Linked DNA regions of Callithrix jacchus. The protein of the gene in region 2 purifies or fractionates together with the protein of the main gene of each other region. This does not show direct contact. Links are inferred from orthologs where the notes say so. Each region holds a gene or a part of one and is shown on either strand. Other genes may lie near its edges.

The links.
Region 1: the proteins of WDR5 (region 2) and ATN1 purify together in Homo sapiens (affinity purification with mass spectrometry; 4 studies listed by BioGRID and IntAct, counting the BioPlex papers as one, with this or other methods). This does not show direct contact. The link is inferred for Callithrix jacchus from reciprocal best matches to the Homo sapiens genes WDR5 and ATN1.

The regions. Positions count from the first base shown.
Region 1 is NC_133510.1:21,193,260-21,197,002, reverse strand, and holds the start of ATN1 (atrophin-1), read right to left. Parts: upstream 2,495-3,743; 5' UTR 2,383-2,494; intron 1-2,382. UniProt on the Homo sapiens protein: Transcriptional corepressor. Recruits NR2E1 to repress transcription. Promotes vascular smooth cell (VSMC) migration and orientation. Corepressor of MTG8 transcriptional repression.
Region 2 is NC_133502.1:182,724,269-182,727,758, forward strand, and holds the end of WDR5 (WD repeat-containing protein 5), read left to right. Parts: intron 1-927; coding exon 928-1,028; 3' UTR 1,029-2,876; downstream 2,877-3,490.

The sequences.
Region 1 (3,743 bases), on a different chromosome or scaffold from region 2:
TAAAATACAATCAACCAAAAAAAAAAAAAATTTCAAAAGAACAACACCCACCATAGCAAAAGAGGAAAACAATCTTAAAAAGCATAAAAAAGATGACTTGGTGTATCTTTGCCAGCCTTCCCAGAGAAGGCTGAGGCTCTCCCTTCCCCATCACAGAACCTGTTCACCAAGTCAGTTAGGCTAGGGGATCCAAAAGGTCAGAGAAACACAGAATGTACCTGTGGAACACAGCAATCATAGTATGCCCTTCTTTTTTAATCATCTGAAATCTGATAAAACTAGCAATGAGTAGCTTTGAAGGAGAAAAGCAGTCATAAAAGAGCAAGTAATCCTGGGGACAAGGAGTGGCAGAGGAGGGAAGGAGTTAGGGTTGGACGGTGTGTGTTTCTAGACCTGGGTCATGTTTTAGCACCAGTCTACACTCCTAGCAAGCAATCCTTGTAACTAATATTACAGAGCACCTACTCTGTACCTGACCACACACTAGGCACCTTCACCTTCATTACCTTCAAAAAGAAAATGATTAAGACCAGACTGGGTTGGGGGGGAAATGAGAAGTAGAAAAAGAGCCCCTAAGTAAGAACAGGAAAAGAAATTAAGAGAGAAATATGGGAAGGATGTCAGAAGGAATACAGTGGAGTCACAAGCTCTCTGGGAAGGGCTCGCAGGCTATATTTCAGGATTATTGGCCCAGCCCCCATCATCATTCCGGACCTGCCAGACTCACAAAACAGTCCGAAGTTAACTCCTAGATAACAATGAAGCCCAGACCACCAGATAACAATGCACTGGCCTAAGCCTTCTGAGGATCCAGGACCTTCAGAGGGGCCTCAGAGATCTTCTCATCTATAACCCCTTCCTCTTAAAAATGAAGCCCCAACATTCAAAGAGAAGTGACTTGCCCAAGGTCACAGAGAGACAGTCAAGTCTAGACCCAGGTCTCCTGGCTCCTGTTCTATAGTATTTCCCCTGCATGGGCTGTTTCACAGTGCTCTGCCCTGGGCCACCCTCACCTGGGATGGGCCTGAGAGCTCAGCCATTTCTACAAGGCCAAAGGTTAGTTGAGGGAAGGAAGAAAAGGGTTTACTCAAGAAGGGAGGCTCAAAGTGGAATTCAAGTTTTAGAAAATGAAAGAAAAGTGCAAAGACGCAAAAATACAACTCTACAAAAAATAATGTAAGGGAGGGAGAGGTCACAACCAACTGCCAAAAGATGGTGTAATTTGAACAGGAGCATTTCATCCTCCCACCATGCCTAGGTGGACAAACTCCGAGAAACACCTGTGATCTGCAAGGAACATATCTACCTGTTCCAACAGACTGCAACATGAAAGGGTGCACACCGTGGAGAAACTCCCATTCACCAACAGATCCAGAAACATCTTACAGAACCCAGCCCAGAGTCCCAAGGACATAGCCACAAGCTGAGGTCCAATCAACATTCTGAAGCCCCACCCCCACCCCACAAACTGGACATCCCACTGGATCACTGCCATAGCAACACAGTGGCAAAAGGTGCCCCTCAAGAGACCATTCCAGGGGTCCATCTGGCAGCCACCCCTCCCAGTTGCCAATGCAACTCCTATCCTCCTATAGCACCTCCGGGGGAGCCTAAGGGTACCTGCCCTAGTCGAAATAAGCTCAAGCACAAAAGGAGATCTTTGAGCTCAAAGCAGTAACCAAGGCCTCCCTATACAGATGACAGTTCCAGGGGCCACAGATGCTAGGCAATTTGAAGGTGGAGGTTGCAACTTGCTTGGAGTGCCTATAAGGTTGCTCAATTCTCTCGTTTCCATCCTCCCAGAAACCCTTTCTTACCAACTCCCCCTTCTGTGTTCCTGTTTTCCCTCTCGTTAGTTTTGGGATAACCCACACTACTGGGCCCCCGTGCCCCTCTCCAAGAAGTAACTATGTCTGATCGGGAAAACAGGGTCAGAGGTGACATGGAGTAGGGGAATGAAAACTGAGTCACAAAGACATGGCCTTTCCACTTCCACGCTGGAAAACCTCCGGCTCTTCCCAAAGATGGACCTCTCTTTGCCCAAGCCTCCGTTTCCCCAGGTTTATCAGCCACAATCCCTCTCTTTCCACCTACCACACCCCTTTCCCGTTTCCCACTTACCGTCTATTCTAACACCCCCAACCCCGGGCTCCAGAACCCGTGTTCTGGGCCTTTGGAGCTTTTTCCTGGAGCCTTCAATGCCCCACCTCGCTGCCATCTCTCCTATCCATTCTGCCTTCGCCCCAAACCCCACTCACAGCATCCCCCGTTTTCCTCCGCCAACCCCCTCCTAGATGTTCCTCCTCTTTTGGGTCCGCAGGTCCCGGCTACCCTGTGCCCCCACAGCCCTCCTCCAGAGACCCTCCCGCCTTCCCACCTTACCGATCCTTCCGAAGCCCTGGCCCCGGTCCCTCCTCGGCGGGCCCCACCCCCTGAGCCCCCAGCGTTGGGCCAGGCAGAGCCCGCAGTGGGGGGACGGGATTGGGAAAATAACAAACGGAGGCGGCGGCGGCGGGAGGGGGAACTGGGAGGGGTGGGGGTGGGGAGCCGCAGGCCCGAGCCCGAGCGGGACAGAACCCGCGGGCCCGGGGCCCAGGCGGCCGCAGACCTTACCTGCTGCTAGCTCGGGACGGCTGGCGGGCTGCGAGCGGGATTCCGGGCTCCGGCGCCTCCGGGGGGCGGCGGCGGCGACTCCCCCGCCCCCCTCTCCTCTCCTGGGCTTCAGTCGCAGCCGCGAAGACGACGGCTGCGGCCTCGACACCCCCGGAGGGCGGCCCCCATCCCCCCTTTCCCTCGCCCGGCCCCCGGAGCAAACCCGGATCCCCGCTCTGCTCCCCACCTCCCCGGGCTGCCTCCTCCCCCCGGCCGCCCGGAATGCCCCGGGCCGCGCCGCCCGCCCCCGCCCGCCCCCGCCCGCCGCGCGCAGCCCGCACCCGCGCGATCCCGGGCCCCTCGGCCGCCTCGCCCGCGGCCCCCGCCCCTTCCCGGGCGGCCGGCCCCCTCGCCCCCCTCTGGCCCCTCCCCGAGGCCGCGGTCTCTCCGAAATGGCCCGGCCGGAGGCCCCGGCCCGGCCCGGGGCTGCAGACGGGCTGGGCGACGCGTCCGGCGACTAGCACAGGAAAGCGGACGGCGAAGGGAGGGAGCCTGGGAGAGGGGGATGGGAGAAGCGAGGAAGAGGGAGAAGGAGGGAGCGCGGAGGAACGGAGGAGAGAGGGGCCAGGAGGGAGACGCGAGGGAGGGAGCGCGAGGCAAGCCGCGAGTGGGGGGAGGGGGAGCCGGAGAGGGGAGGCGCCGCGCGAGTTGGCCGAGGCCGAGGCCGAGGGGGCCGGGGCGCGGGGAGGGCTCGCCGCGGCGGAATGTGGGGAGCCCGCGGGCCGGGCGCGGGAGAGGGCTAGGTAGGAGGGGCTGTGGGTGGTGAGGGCAGATGAGGGGAGGCTGAAGTTTGGGGGCGACCGGGTCTGTGGCAGAGGTGAAGTGGGAGGAGTTTGGGGGATCCTGGGGTAGAGATTGGGATAATGGGATTGGATTGGAAAGATGGAGCTGCCTGGGGGCTTTGTGGGTGCCTGGCGAGAAGTGAGAGAAGCTTGGGGTGAAGGGGTTTCTGGCAGAGATGGAGCCAGATGGGTTTGGGGCCTGTTACCAGAGAGAATGAGATGGAAGTTTGGAGTCATAAAGAGGGAGCAAAATTGCAAAGATGAAGACATATATGGAAGATGGGGCTTCTGGAAGACAGTAAGGCGTTT
Region 2 (3,490 bases):
CTGCCCCATTCTAGAGGCTCTGGCTCCTTTCAGGGATACCTGTTTCTCTCCCAGAGAGACCCTGGCTGCTCATAGCCAAGTGGACCCCGCGGCAGTGCCAGTTCCCAAGCCACCTAGGTCACCCCCTCCCTAGTCCTGGCTGCCCCCTCACCCTCTGGCCCCTGCATTTCCATGTCTCATTGGGCCAGTGACAGCAGGGGTGTGGAGCCCCTGTGGAAATCTGGGGAGGCGCTTCTCCCTCCGTGCGAGCAGCTTCACCCAGCCTGCAAGTGTGCCACCACCCAGTGTCAGCGCTCACGCTCCACGGGCCTGGGCCTTCCTTTGTGTCCTCGCCGGCATTCTGGGGTTTGTTTGGTTTATGTAGGAGCTGTAAACCCTTTGATGTGGCTGACCTTGCACCAGCCTGTTAGATCTGACTGCCCTGCTTTGGGGGTGGACTTGTCCTGTTGTGACAGAGCCAGCCCTGAGGGGCACTCGGGCTCAGCAGTGTTGGGCGGAGGTGAGTGGGCGGCTCAGGGTCCTGAGTGCTAGAGGGATGTGGTCGACAAAGGACTGAGGACCTCGAGGGATGGTCTGACTGGGATCCCTGCGTGCCAGCCTCTCAGCCAGTCTTGCTGCCACGTTCCTCCCTGTGGGTGCCGAGCTACTGCTGGTGGGGTCATGGGGGGCTCCTGCTCTACAGGCGGGATGGCTTTCCCTGCTGCCTTTCTCCCACTGCCCACCCTCCCCGCTATGTCACCCTGATAATGGCTCTTGTTCCCTCGCCCCCCGTGTTGAGGGTAGGCAGCGGGTGCTTGCCCTGAGACCTCCCGGGTGGTGTATAGGTGCTACCAGAGTTTTTGGGGAACAGTGGAGCTCAGTCTGAGTTGGTACCCACAACCCAAGGCATAGGGACAGCTCTGTTTCTGACTGTGTCTTTGTTTTCAGATGTTGTGATTTCAACAGCTTGTCACCCAACAGAAAATATCATTGCCTCTGCTGCGCTAGAAAATGACAAAACAATTAAACTGTGGAAGAGTGACTGCTAAGTCCCTTTGCTTCTGTGCGAGAGACTGTCAGGAAGTTGACCCGGATTGGCAAGAAACATGGTGTCTCGAGCTGGTCCCCCGGGTCTGCGCCTGGGGTCAGAACGGGGCCGGATGTGAGCCTCCTCTTGGAAGATGATTTGTCTGAGCGGAAGGTGTAGAGCACCGGAAGATTCTAAAAGTTGCTGGTGACATTTCTTGCCAATTCTTCTAACACTGTCTAGGGAAAAGTTCCTAGCCTGTTGTGTGCAAAACAGTCAACACAAGTTTTTAATTTTTTATTACAAAAGGGTAAAGTTCAATTTATCATGCGTTGTGTTTTTCAGTAAACATTCTATATCTTGTTGATATTCATGACCCAGTGCACGCTGTGGCTGGTCACCGCCATTGTGGCCCCAACAGCTGCCGCCCCATTCCCTGCTGCGTAGCCGCCCCGGGCTACGGCCCTGACTCCTCTGTTCCTGCTATAGTCGTTCCTGGTGTCTGCGTCTTTCTGGAAAGCACAGTGTCGCGTGTGGTTTTCTGTGTAAAGAGCCTTTTGTGGCCCACGCATGGCAGCATGGTCATCGCACACGGCGCTGCTGTCTGTCTCACCAGTGTCCCTGCAACAATAGCACCACAGACTGTAATAAAAAGGTGGGGCTTTGTGGACAGTTGTGGGAAGTGCATCCTTGTGCAGTGCATCACTATGTGGCCGTCTTGGAGAAAGGCTCCCTTTCCTTCTCTGGGAAGTAAAGGAGGCGCCCTGGCTGGCCGCACCTGCTATCTGAAGACGCCTCCCCTTGTAGGCTGTGCTCAGTGTTGCTGGGGGAGGGGCAGGGTGGGGGTTCTTAGTTGCAAAGGAGCCAAGCTCCTGATGGGCTCCCGTTGGGATGTTGGGGACACCCGTGGCATGGGAAGGCTCCCTGCATCCCTCACTCCAGGTCAGGTGCCAGTGGGACTAATGTGCCTCATGAGGGCTGCAGAGCCAGTGCTGCCCCTCGGCTTCCCATCTCCTGGCAGCCCCAGGAGCGGCTCCTCAAGGGATTGGGTGCTAAGCGAGAGCCTTGTCATCTCAGCCCTCGCCTGCCCACCTGCCTGTGTTCCTGGCCGCGTGGCTACCTGGTGCTCACCTGCACAGCAGTTTACGGGCAGAAGCTGAGCGGGAGCCTTTGGGGAGTGAGGCTGAAACCTGAGCCTGTCTGTGGAGACCTTTGTGGTGGGGGCTGCCATGCAAAGCCAGCCCATGGGGCAGGGCTTTGGGGCAGGGTGGGCTGTGGTGCTCCAGAAAGCCAGCCTGGGTACTGGGTCTGCAAATGGCCCTGGCCCCAGAGCCCAGCCAGCTCTGCCTCTGTCAGGGCCTGGAGTTCTGGGTGAATCCTCCAGCTTTGTGATTGTACCGGCCCAGGGAGGAGGTGGGGGTTTGTCAGGTGGGCTCTCCTGGGGGTCCTCTAGTGGCAGAGGTGAAGGAGGGATTACCTGGGCATCTGGAGATGCGTGTCCCACGGTTTCCCTTGCCCCTCTGTTTCTGATGAGGTGTACAGTTGAGGGACCTGGGCTAAAGTGAGTTGCCACAATGAAATGGGTTGATTTCTGTCTTTGACACTCAGGGTCTGGGCACCCTGCATTTGCCGCCTGTTGTGACAGACTCGGGGAGCTCCACCTGCAGCTGCCCTCCTGTGGGGCACCCCGGGGGCTGTGAGGCTCCTGCAGTCTCGTTCTGCCGGTGGGGGGAAGCCCACTCCGGGGAGGGCTGTGCTGTGCTGAGTGCTGTATCCCTGAATATAGTTTATTTTTTCTACATTTGAATTCTGTTGTAGATTTATGTAAAAATACATTCTTTTTGAAAATAAAAATTTTCATGTCTTCTAATTTTGTCCTGTGAGAATTTCTTAAAATGTAGCTGTCTGTGGGGTGGGAGGGCAGCTGCCCTGGTGGTGGGGTGGCATCTGGTGTGCCAGCGTGCCCCGCAGGACAGTCCTGGGTTTTCACAGTAGCCTTAGCAACGTCATCTATTTGTGCTAATAACGTACATGTTTTGTATTGATTTTCGGCTTTTCGGTATATACCTGTGTGCTAATTATTGACGGTGGTAGGCAGGTAGGCAGAGACGAAGGGAGCTCCTCCAAAGTCCTGCGGCCACCACCGTGCTGGGGAGGCTCTTCTGGGGCATGCGCTACAAACAGGAGCTTGCAGATGCGCAGAGTGTGGCACCCCCGGGTTCCTGTTGCTGCTGCAGGGACTCGCCGCTCTTCCGTGGCTGCTCGTGTCATTGCAGTACAAATCCCAGACGTTTGACCACGTAAGTGAACATGTGGCATGGGGACAAACAATCCTCCAGAAGCATTATTACCATAATGCCATTTTCATACCAAAAAGTCCCCCCACCCTCTTTATTTTATTTATTTATTTTTTAGATGGGGTCTCGCTCTGTTGCCCAGGCTGGAGTAGTGAGTGTGTTCACAACTCACTGCAGCCTCAAACTC